3 linked regions of the Canis lupus familiaris genome follow. The protein of the gene in region 3 purifies or fractionates together with the protein of the main gene of each other region. This does not show direct contact. Links are inferred from orthologs where the notes say so. Each region holds a gene or a part of one and is shown on either strand. Other genes may lie near its edges. The genes, in order: ANKS3, ANKS6 and NEK7.

What was found.
Region 1: the proteins of NEK7 (region 3) and ANKS3 purify together in Homo sapiens (affinity purification with mass spectrometry; 3 studies listed by BioGRID and IntAct, with this or other methods). This does not show direct contact. The link is inferred for Canis lupus familiaris from reciprocal best matches to the Homo sapiens genes NEK7 and ANKS3.
Region 2: the proteins of NEK7 (region 3) and ANKS6 purify together in Homo sapiens (affinity purification with mass spectrometry; 3 studies listed by BioGRID and IntAct, with this or other methods). This does not show direct contact. The link is inferred for Canis lupus familiaris from reciprocal best matches to the Homo sapiens genes NEK7 and ANKS6.

What each region holds. Positions count from the first base shown.
Region 1 is NC_049227.1:36,999,857-37,003,497, forward strand, and holds part of ANKS3 (ankyrin repeat and SAM domain-containing protein 3), read left to right. Parts: intron 1-703; coding exon 704-828; intron 829-1,261; coding exon 1,262-1,403; intron 1,404-1,867; coding exon 1,868-2,040; intron 2,041-2,180; coding exon of another isoform or gene 2,181-2,202; exon of another isoform or gene 2,203-2,353; intron 2,354-2,370; coding exon 2,371-2,456; intron 2,457-2,898; coding exon 2,899-2,973; intron 2,974-3,169; coding exon 3,170-3,249; 3' UTR 3,250-3,261; intron 3,262-3,329; exon of another isoform or gene 3,330-3,349; coding exon of another isoform or gene 3,350-3,366; 3' UTR 3,367-3,641. UniProt on the Homo sapiens protein: May be involved in vasopressin signaling in the kidney.
Region 2 is NC_049232.1:56,228,232-56,231,972, forward strand, and holds the start of ANKS6 (ankyrin repeat and SAM domain-containing protein 6), read right to left. Parts: upstream 2,776-3,741; coding exon 2,417-2,775; intron 1-2,416.
Region 3 is NC_049228.1:4,479,259-4,482,999, forward strand, and holds the start of NEK7 (serine/threonine-protein kinase Nek7), read right to left. Parts: upstream 2,719-3,741; 5' UTR 2,700-2,718; intron 2,264-2,699; exon of another isoform or gene 2,245-2,263; intron 1,848-2,244; exon of another isoform or gene 1,735-1,847; intron 1,319-1,734; exon of another isoform or gene 1,300-1,318; intron 1,267-1,299; exon of another isoform or gene 780-1,266; intron 681-779; exon of another isoform or gene 55-680; intron 1-54. UniProt on the Homo sapiens protein: Protein kinase which plays an important role in mitotic cell cycle progression. Required for microtubule nucleation activity of the centrosome, robust mitotic spindle formation and cytokinesis.

The sequences.
Region 1 (3,641 bases), on a different chromosome or scaffold from region 3:
GGAGACCCCGGATCGAATCCCACATCGGGCTCCCGGTGCATGGAGCCTGCTTCTCCCTCTGCCTGTGTCTCTGCCTCTCCCTCTCTCTATGTGACTATCATAAATAAATAAAATTAAAAAAAAAAAAAAAAAAAAAGAAACCACTGGACCAGGCAGCCCGGGTGGCTCAGTGGTTTAGCACCGCCTTCAGCCCAGGGCCTGATCCTGGAGACTGGGGATCGAGTCCTGCATCGGGCTCCCTGCAGGGATCCTGCTTCTCCCTTGGCCTGTGTCGGTGCCCCCCACCCCCCATGAATAAATAAAATCTTTAAAGGGGAAAAAAAAAAAACACGGGACCTAGAGGACATCTGATGACCTAGTCAAAGGAATGAGAAAAACCCTCCAGAATGCTGTATCCAAGTAAGAACTATCCTTCAGAAGTAAAGGAGAAACTAAGATGTCACACTGTCGCAGGCTAACAAAGCCAAGAGAGTTTGTGGCCACCGGACTCGCCCTCCAAGAAACTGAACGCTGTCCAAGCTGAAGTGAAGACACAGGCTCAGAGAGCCTCCGGGCTACCCATGCCGCCTGAGGGCACAGAGAGGGGGTGGCCGGGGCTCTGGGGGCCGCCAGCACTGTCCCACTGTGGAGCTTGGGGGCTGGCCGGGTTCACCCGGACGGGGCCACCCGTCCTCTGACCTGTCCCCGCTCCTGTACCCTCCAGGACCTCGCCACGCTGCTGGAGCAGATTGGGTGTCTGAAGTACCTGCAGCTGTTTGAGGAGCAGGACGTGGACCTCCGCATCTTCCTGACCCTCACTGAGAGCGACCTGAAGGAGATTGGCATCACGTGAGTGCAGAGGGGCCCTTCGTGGCCGCACCCCCGTCTCTGGCGTGAAGCTGAGCCCGCAGCTTCCCCTCATGTGGGTGGAACTAGCTGCCCTGTCTTGTCTGAGGTTCCACTTGCTTCCTATAGCAGCGTCCGCTCCAGCCCTCCAGCTGCCCCTGGCTTAGGTGCTGGAGGGCTGGGTCCTGTGGCTCCCTCAGGCTCCCCAAGCCTGGCCTGAGCCCCCTGTTCAGTGAGAACAGCAGCTGGGCAGGGGAGGCCAGCCCTAGCTGGGGTCACTTCTTAGAACCATTTGTCTTCTGCCCTAGGATCCTGGGGGCCACTCTCCCCCTTCCAAGCTGGGCCCTTTCTTAAGGGACCGTCTTGGTGTAAGGACAGTCCGTGGCATCTCTACGCACACAGCAGACGTATATACTTCTCTCTATCCTCCTCGCAGGTTATTTGGGCCTAAGAGGAAGATGACCTCTGCCATTGCCCGCTGGCACAGCAGTGCCCGTCCCCCCAGCGATGCCCTGGAGTTGGCCTATGCTGACCGGCTCGAAGCTGAGATGCAGGAGCTTGCCATCCAGCTGCACAAAGTATGAGGGGGCGTGCAAGAGAGGGGTGTGGAGACGCCTGCAGTAAAGGACAGCATAGGGGGTGAGCAGGGAGGACAGATCTGCAGGGTCAGCAGGGAGAAGCAGCCAGGACAGTTAAGGGCAGAGAGCATTATTGCTGTGCAGGAGGGGAGACACATGGGCGTCTGCCTGGGAAGAAGGCTCAGGAAGGGATGGGGACTCGGGGCAGGAGCTTACATGGACACAGAAGATCAAGGGGGAGGGCAGAGAACAAGCAGCAGGCTTGGATGCCACAGGGCTTGAGGGAAGGGGCCCAAAGCAGAGGCGGCTCTGTCTGGAGACACGCGTCCCCTTCCTCCGGCCCAGTAGAGTGGGAGTTGAGAGCCGGTGGGGATGGCAGAGCCGACTGGGGCTGGCAGGACCCAACCGAGGTGGCCCTGGCCTTGAATCCCCCTGGCTCACTCACCCGCCCCATCTCCTCTCAGCGCTGTGAGGAGGTGGAGGCCATGCGAGGCCAGGTGTCGCAGGAGCAGGAGCTGCGGGCGGTGGTGGAGAGCTGCCTCCTGGAGCAGGACGGTGCCCGTGAGGACGTGCGTGCCCAGCTGCAGGAGACGTGGGCCCTGGCCCAGGACGCTGCTCTCATCTTGGACCAGCTGCGGTGAGTGGGCACCTGAGCTGCCCTGGGCCCGACCCTGAGCCACCACTGCCTCCAGATGCTTCAGCCAAGGGTTGGTTTTAGGGCCTTCTGGGGCCACTCGCTGCCATCCTCCGTTTCATTCTGGCTTTTCCTTTCTGCAGGGCAGACCCAGGCAGCAGATAGGGCCCCGCGCATCTGCATGCTGGTCCCCAAAGGCGCCTGGTGTGCTTGCCCTGAAGGCAGGGCCCCCCTGACACTCAGGGAGATGGGGTATCTGTGTCCCGCTGGGGCCGTGGGAGGCACTATTGCCCAGCCTCTCCCCTCACCAGCGCTTGGCCTTGTGTCTGGCAGAGCCTGTCAAGCCGAACTGTCAGCCAGAGTGAAGCAGGAGGTGTCCACCCGAGGGCTCCCCCTGGCCGCTGCCCTCCCCACAGCTGGTAAGAACCGTGTTCTTGCCCCGGATCACGTAGGTGCTGTCCTAGGCCTCCGGTTCCAGCTCCAGCTCTTTCCTCCACACAATCGCAGGTCCCAGAGCGAGGGTGCCCTCTCTCACCCATGTCCTCCCCGTGGTGGGGGGCAAAAGCCCTTGGGCCCTGGCTGACGCTGCTGTCCACGATCTCAAGTGATTTCTGCAGCCTATAGTTGGGGCCGCCCCAGGACAAAGCCTCCCTGTAGGCCAGGCCCCCCCCCCCTTCCACTCCCGGGGCTACTGGCAGCCAGTGCTTTGGAAAAACAGCTGGGAGGACACACTTTGGTGTAGCAAGGTCATGCAGGAAGCAACAGCTAGGTGGGTCCCCTGGTCACGGCAGCTCAGGACAGAGGGGCAGGACCTATGGTGACCACATGCATTCCAGGCCCACCTGGCTTTATGTCCCACAGACTGGCAGGCCTCCCTGCAGGCTCTGAGCCTCCCTGAGCTGTCAGGAGCACTGGAGGATCGAGTCCAGGAAATGGGTGAGTGTCCAGGAGGGCAGCCAGAGGTCTCCCACCCACTGGGGGCCACAAGGGGGGAACAGGAGGAGCCCTGCTTGGTCAGCTCCGACCCTGGGGTGGCTCCTGCCGTGTAGCCCGCTTCCCCTCACTGCCAGGCATCCCTAGGACCTTCCCTTCTCACGCTGGCAAAGCAGGAACTAACTGCTCCCATCCTCAGGGCGAGTGCTATGCTCAGTGACCCAGAGCTTGGAGAAGCTGCAGGTGCTGAACGGGAAGGAGAACTGGCGGGAGCCTTAGCTGGGAGGGACGGTGAGTGTCCCCCAGGCCCCAGGCCGGGAGAGCAGGGCACCCTGGGCAGCGGTGAGCGCCCCCTTCAGGCTTCTCTTTCCCTTCTCAGACTCTGACGTTGGGTGACTGATCCACCCTGAAGCTGTGTGCCTGGAAGACAGGAGGGCAGAGTGTGGGCGCTGCCGCAGGCCGGGCCCCACTGGGCCGGAGGATCAGGCCCCAGGAGCAGCCGGCAGAAGCAGGACAGGGCTGGGGCCAGGGCAGCAAGGCCCACACGGAGGCAGGACGAGGGCCTCCAGCCCAGAATCTGGGGGTGAGGCCCAGAGTGGGCAGGGCCCTGGGGAGAGAGGATCCCCATACACCGCAGGTGCCCCACAGAAAGGACTGGGCACCTGGGCAGC
Region 2 (3,741 bases), on a different chromosome or scaffold from region 3:
TGTCAAATGAATAACTAGCATCACCAAGCAGAGGATGGTCTGGATGAAGGCCAGGGAAATGACTACAGAACTCATGTATCCTGCACCGAAGTAGAGAATTTTTAAAAATCCCACTATTTAGTTATCAAGCTTAAAATAAAATCTAGTATAATTCCTTACAGCAGATTAAAAAGTGCTGTCACATTTTTATCTCATTTGATCTTAATAAACCCTAAAATAAACTAATAATGCCTTTTTCACAGATGAGGAAACTGAAGATTTGAGTGGAAAGCAGAGTGTCTCCTTTTGAAAGTGATGGAGTCAAAACTTGGAACCTAGACCCGAAAATCTGAAACCCCAGCTCTTCTGATATAAAAAGTGTTCAGACAGAAAGGAAAGAAGTGAACTGAACAGAAGTGCTGACATTTGGATGGACATTTCTGAACTCACAGGTAGCCCGGGAGGTCATTCAATTACGATGGAAACTTAAAAGAATTCAAGGAAGGCTGAGATAGTTTTGTGGATGCTAAGCTTCTAATAGGTAATTACTGAGGATAGGGAAGCGTGGGAATTTCTGAACAGCTGCTGTGATTACCAATTAATTTTGGCAATTAACACTTGTGTTTAAAGACCGGGCAAAAACGCCTACCACCCAAAGCACTGGGCACAGAGGCCACACTCACTATCAGGTAGAGAAATGGAGAGAGCAGGAGAACAAAAGAGGCCAAGGGTGAAGTTGGGGCCAAAGCAAACACCATGCAACCTGTCCCTTTAGCATTTGGCCAATTTGGAGAGTAGCTTCCCTGTGGCCGACACTAAGGGGAAACAGTCGGTTACAAGATTGGTGGCCGAGAGCACAGGCTGAGAGCACAGGCTCTGGGGTCACCCACCTCAGTGTGAATGTGACTCTGCCATAGTATGAGTTGTGTGGCCTTGGGCAAGTTAACTCTCTGAGCCTCAATTCCTCATCTGTAAAATGGGGATGACGACAGTACCTACACGTCCTGAGGTTTCTGCAGATTGAATGAGTTACCTCACTTAAAGCACTTAGCACCGTGCTGGACACAAAAAGTGCTCAATAAAGCTTATCATGTCCAGAAGAGGAAAAAACATGAATGTAACCATTCCTGCTACTAAAACATCCACCAGAGACCAAACTGAGGAGTGGGTGGGGCCTGAAAAGATGGCCAACAGGGGTGAGTGACTTTACTGTACACCGGAGTTCCTTCCCACCAGGGCTTCAAGTCCTGTTCGCCCTGCTTCCTGAATACATCTCGAACACCTCACTGCTCTCCCACGGCTGTCTCTGCTCGGGTCCAGGCTACCATCACTTCTCCCTAGACTGCTGCTAACCAGGCTCTCCGACTCTAGCCCATCCCTCCAATCCGTCCTCACACTGCAGTGAAAGTGATCTTTCTTTCCAAAACATAAATCTGATTGTGTCGCTCACTCTGCCTAGAACCATCTATTACTCCCCAATGCCCTTAGGATAGCACATCCTTCTCAGCCCAGCCACATGGCATCTGCCTTCCTCTCCAGGGGAGGCTCATCTCCCACTACTTCTAGCCCTCTCCTAGTACTGATCACGGTTCTAGCAGTCCTACCAATGCCTTACGTTCACTTTTGCTTCCAAACCTTTGCATGGGCCTCCTATCACCCCATTCCCACCTCCCACTTCTTCTGTCCTGGTTAATTCCTATAGAGTCTCAACCTGAATAAATGCATCCTCCTTACCAAAAACCTTCCTCCACTTCCCCAAACTGGGTCTGCCCTGTCCAGAGCTCCCCGCACTTTCCCCACTCATTGAGCCCTATCTCTTTGGCCTGCCCACGCGTGCGCGAGCTGCTGTCGGTGGGACTCCCCGGATCCAGCAGGGTCCCCCTCTCTTAGGCTAGGGAGAGGAGTAGGTAGGTTCTTAGGAAACCTAGGTTGCAAGAAGGCATGAATGAACACCCCTAAGATCATGTGTCTCTAAGATTCTATTCGACGAGGTCTTCAGATTGTTTCTCGAAAGGCCCACTGTTCGTAGGATTCTGATTTTAGGGCAGCCCGGGTGGCTCAGCTGCTTAGCACCGCCTTCAGCCCAGGGCCTGATCCTGGAGACCTGGGATCGAGTCCCACGTTGGGCTCCTGCATGGAGCCTGCTTCTCCCTCTGCCTGTCTCTCTCTCTCTATCTCTTTCTCTCTCTCTCTGTCTCATGAATAAATAAAATCTTTAAAAAAAAAAAAAGATTCTGGTTTTATCATTAAAAAGCGCTTCCACTTCTTCTAGGATCCCGAGCTGCTCCAAGTTCACCAGTCCAGCTCTCTCGAACGAGTCCCAGACTCTTTAGCTCCCGGGGCGTCTGCGGGAGGGGCTCCGGGCGGGGCGGCCACCTGAGCCCGCTCGCCCCGGGGTCGGCCCGACGCCAGCCCTGGGGGCCCGACCCGAGCTCACCTGGCTGCCTGCATGAGCGCGCTCCAGCCGTAGTGGTTGCGGCTGTTGACCGAGGCGCCGCGGCGCAGCAAGAAGCGCACAAGCGGCTCGTGGCCCCCGGCCGCGGCGAACTGCAGCGCCGTGTTGCCCGCCTCGTCCGAGCAGTCCACGGGCACCGGCGCCCCGGCCGCCGCCGCCGCCCCGGGCCCGGGCCCGGCCGCCTCGGCCCCCGCGGGCTCCGCGCCCGCCTCGGGCTCCGCGCTGCGCTCCGCCGGCTCCGCCGCCCCCGGCTCCAGCAGCCGCCGCGCCGTCTCCGTGTCGCCCTGGTCGCAGGCGCGCAGCAGCAGCTGGAAGGCCGGGGGCAGCCCGCCCTCGCCCATCGCGGCCCGCGGCCCGCGCCCGTCCGCCCGGCCCGCCGCGCCGGCTCCGCCCCCGGATACCGCGCGCCAGCGCCCCCTTCCGCCCGCCGCCCGCGCGCCTACTGCGTGCCGGGAGCGCGGGGAGGTGGGGGGAGCCGGGGCCGCGCGTCTACTGTGTGCCGGGAGCGCGGGGAGGTGGGGGGGGGAGCCGGGGCCGCGCGTCTACTGTGTGCCTGGAGCGCGGGGAGGTGGGGCGGGGGGAGCCGGGGCCGCGCGTCTACTGTGTGCCGGGAGCGCGGGGAGGTGGGGGGGGGGGGGGAGCCGGGGCCGCGCGTCTACTGTGTGCCTGGAGCGCGGGGAGGTGGGGCGGGGGGAGCCGGGGCCGCGCGTCTACTGTGTGCCGGGAGCGCGGGGAGGTGGGGGGAGCCGGGGCCGCGCGTCTACTGTGTGCCGGGAGCGCGGGGAGGTGGGGGGGGGGGGGGGGAGCCGGGGCCGCGCGTCTACTGTGTGCCTGGAGCGCGGGGAGGTGGGGGGGGAGCCGGGACCGCGCGTCTACTGTGTGCCGGGAGCGCGCCGGGTGGGGGGCGAGCCGGGGCCGCGCTCCTACTGTGTGCCGGGCGCGCGCGATGGGGCGGGGGGAGCCGGGGCCGCGCGCCTACTGTGTGCCGTGCGGGGGGGGGGGGGGCGCCGCGGTCCTACTGCGTGCTGGGCGCGCGGGGGTGGGGGGCTGGCCCGCGCCCCTACTGTGTGCCTACTGTGTGCCGGGCGCGCGCAGGGCCCGGGGCCGCGCTCTTGTGTGCCTACTGTGTGCGGGGCACGCGCGGGGGCCAGGGCCGCGCCCCTACTGTGTGCCGGGCGCGCGTGGGAGCCGCGCCCCTACTGTGTGCCGGGCGCGCGCCAGGGCCGGGGCCACGCGTCCTCGCCGCGCGTGGAGGGACCGCGAGTTCCGGCGGCGGGTGCGCCTCTGCGGGTGCGGCCCTGCCCGGC
Region 3 (3,741 bases):
GGGGCGGGGCCTCCGGGGGGGAGGCCGCGGGGAGCAGCGGCGCAGGCCAGCACGTCGCCCCGGGTCGCCGCGGCGCTCCCCAGCCCAGACCTCCCGCCAGTCTCCACTCGGGGGTGGGGGGGGGTGTGGAGGGGGAGGAACCTCCTCTCAACGTGCGGGTCACACTCCTCCACGCGGCAGCGTCTCACAGCGCCCACACCTCTCCCCCAACCCAGGCAAGCGCCTCGTCCCGCACCCGCCGAAGAGATGCTGCGGTTTTAGGGATGAAGCAAGCTGTGGACTGGATCCCCCGCGGGCAGCAGAGGATTCCTACCCCTGGGAGGGACACGATTGCTTAGGGTCTACGTTAACTGCTCCCGGTGCGCTGGCCTTGGCCAAGTACTAAAGCCCGCAATACTCGGCGTCCATTCAGCAAGCGCTGATGGTGCCTCTTGCTTGATCGATCACCCACCGCTCCCAGCGCTCTGTCCGCCTGTCCCTCTGCAGAGCCGTCCTCCGGCCACACCCGCAGCAGCTCGAGCTCCCGCACGCAGTCACCACCACGCACGCGTTCTGTCCTCTAGCCTGTAGGGCGACCTCACAGGACACACTACCGGTGCCTGCAGGGAGTGCGCGTACTTTCTCGACGCTGCAAACTCTTGGGAGGAACAGTCAGAAGCAGTCGTTCTGGTTAATAACAGGTACGCGACGCTCTAGAAACTACGGGCCCTCGATTCTTACAACAGCATCCTCACGATCAGTAGTCAGGGAAAAATCATTTCGTTTTGTAATGTTTTCAGGCTTTCCAGTCCCGTCTGCAGGGCTGCCCAAGGATGCGACATACCCTCCCGTAAAATAAGTCTATTTTCAGTACCTATGCGTAACCAGGAGTACAGCCACGAGAGACCACGATTTACCTGTCTGGCACATCATCTCCCAAGGCCTGCAGGACACCGCAAAGAGGCAACTCGAGTTCTCCAGCACCCACTGCAGCATCCTGTAGGTAGTGTTCCTTCCTGGCACTGTGCTACGGCAATGTGGGCTTCTCTTTTTTTTTTTTTTTCTTTTTATGGGGGTCCCCTTGGTCTCCCTGGCTTCGGCCTCAATTCTCAACTTATTTTTGCATTGCCACCATCACCACCAAGGCTCTCTATTGCCTTGCAATCTCACGCACGCACACACACACATCTGCTAAATCTAGCGGGGTCCCACGAAACCCCACTCCCCGCCGGGTCGGCCATCCTCCCTGCACTTCTCAGGCGACCTCAGCTACTCCGTCGGCTACTCCGTCCGCCGCGCCGCGCCCCCCGCCCACTCTACCGGGCGAACTTCACTCCTCCGAAGTCGGGCCGCCGCCGAAGCCTGACAGCCGGACCCAACCAATCAGCGACGGATAAATAACCGGCGCCGCCAATGAGCAGCAGCCGAGGGCCGGGAGGCGGGACTTCGCCCAAGTTCCTCGGGTCCTGCAACCAGAGACCTGTTGCCGCCGCCGCCGCCGCCGCCGCCGAGCTTCTTAGTTACGGCGGCGCCCACGGCAGCCCGAGGCCGCCAAGCCCGAGCGGGGCACCGAGCTCCTGCCGCCCGCGCCCGCCCCCGCGCCCGCCCCCGCCCGGCGCGCCCCGCCCCGCCCCGCCCCGCCCCGCCGGGGGATCCCGCAGGCCGCCCGCGCTCTCCCGTGCTCGCCCTCCGCGCCCGCCTCCCGCGGGCAGCCCCGCCCGGCCCCGGGCGCCCGAGCCCCCGGCAGCCACTCACCGGGAAGTTGGAAGTTTCCGGCGCTCCTGCCCGCCGGGGGCCCCGGGGCGGCTGGGCCGGGCGGCGCCGCGGAGAGGCCCGCTGGGCCCGGGGCTGTGGCTGCGAGGCCGGGAGCCGATCGCCACCTCCCGCCGCGCCGCCCCCGCGGACGCTGCCGGCGCGGCCCCCACCCTGCGCACGGCGAGGCGCGGCCCGAGGGCGAGCCTAGCGGCGGCCCATCCTCCGCACCTCCCGCCCCTCCTCCCGCGGCCGCCGCTGTCAGCGGTGTAAACATCCCGGCAGCCCCGAGGAGCGGGGCGGGGCGGCCGCCGGCTCCTCCTCCCGCGCCCGGGCCCCGCCGCCCGGCTCCCCCCGAGCCCGGGGCGGCCGCTGCCCGGGAGCCTGCGCCCTCTCCGCTGGCATGTGCGTGCCGCCGCGTGCAAGCAGCGAGCTCCCCCGGTGCACACCCCCCCCGCCCCCCGGATCCCGGCGTGTCGATTCCACCCTCTTTTACCAGGTGGTTCAAACTACCTCTGCGCTAACCACGCCTGGCATCGGGGACGCCGGCTGTTAGGGCTGTTAGGGCGTTCCGCAATACTGAGCCGCTCCTGGGGACTGGGAGGCACCGGAGACCCCCCGGGACCCCGGGGCTCCAGCGGAGCCGCGAGACTCTCCTCCGGGAGCACCTGGGCACGTGTTGCTGCAGATGACCCGGAGCAGGCGGTACGGAGCCGAGCAGGCCGGCGCCCTAATCTTCGTACCACCCCTACCCCCACCCCCCCATGAACTCGGTGACGTGGCAGCAAGTTCACTCACCTCCCCCGGGGTGAGCACAAGAGCAGTAATAATACTCCTCGACAGGACCCAGGTTAGAATTAAACGAGATAAGCAAGGTGCTTCAAGACAAGAACCTAGCCCCTAAGTACCCCTTAAGTAGCTGTTACTGCCCCCCCCCACCAGGTCTTGCACTAGCTCGGCTTACCCACCCAAGGGGTTGGAACCAAGAATGAACAGATTACAGCTCCGAGACTTCAAAAGTTAAAGCCACGGGGGTGTCAAGAGGACACTGGTACGCGTCTGCTCGCTCGCAGGTGCTGTGGGTCGCGAGCTCTTGCACGTTCCTCCCACGGAGGTGGAGCCTCATTCCCTCCCCACTTGTATCTGCGCTGATCTCTGGTGACTTTGAGCGGTGGAGTTTGGGAGAAACTATACTGTGAAAGATTCTAGGCGAGGCCTTCAGAGAACTGGCATTTGCACCTCGGGCTCTTGGAGCTGTGAGCCTCCCTGTAAGAAGTCCAGCTACCCTACTGGGAAGACCACATGGAGAGCCCCTGAGATCGCACGGCCCTCTAGACCTCCCACCAAGGTTTTAGGCACGTGGGTGAACCCATCCCAGACCCTGTAAATCAAACCAGCTCTTGCAGCCAACATCACGCAGAGCAGAAAAAAATTCCTCCAGCTGAGCCCCGCTAAAATTGCTGGCCCACAAGTCAATGAGGCACTAATGCCAGAATCTTTACAAGTTCGTATGACAGGGTGAACTTCATCAATTAGAGGCCTTAAGAGCAAAGACAGGTTTGCCAAATGATGAATTGAGCTTCACAGGCGCAGCGCAGAAATTTGCCTGAGGTTCCAGCCTACCTGTCTGCCCCGTAGAATTCACACTCAAGATTGCAATTCTTTTTTTTTTTTAAGATTGCAATTCTTACCTGAATCGCCAGCCTGCCTGCCCTATAAATTACAAACTTCCCAACCCCCCATAATCACTTGAGCATAAAATAAAATGAAATATCCTAAATTTACAAAAAAAAAAAAGTAAAGCTATGGAATTAAGATTTGGAAAGTTTATTTTTTGCCCAAAAAGAAAGGTTAAGTCAAGATCTCAAGAAGGGATGTTAATTCCATTGGCTCAATAAGGAATAATAAATGTTAAGTCACTGTTCTAAGGAAAGAAGATATAATAGTTACCAAGATACAAAGTCCTTGTTATCGTGGAGCTTACACTGTGGAAGAAAAGGCAACTATCAA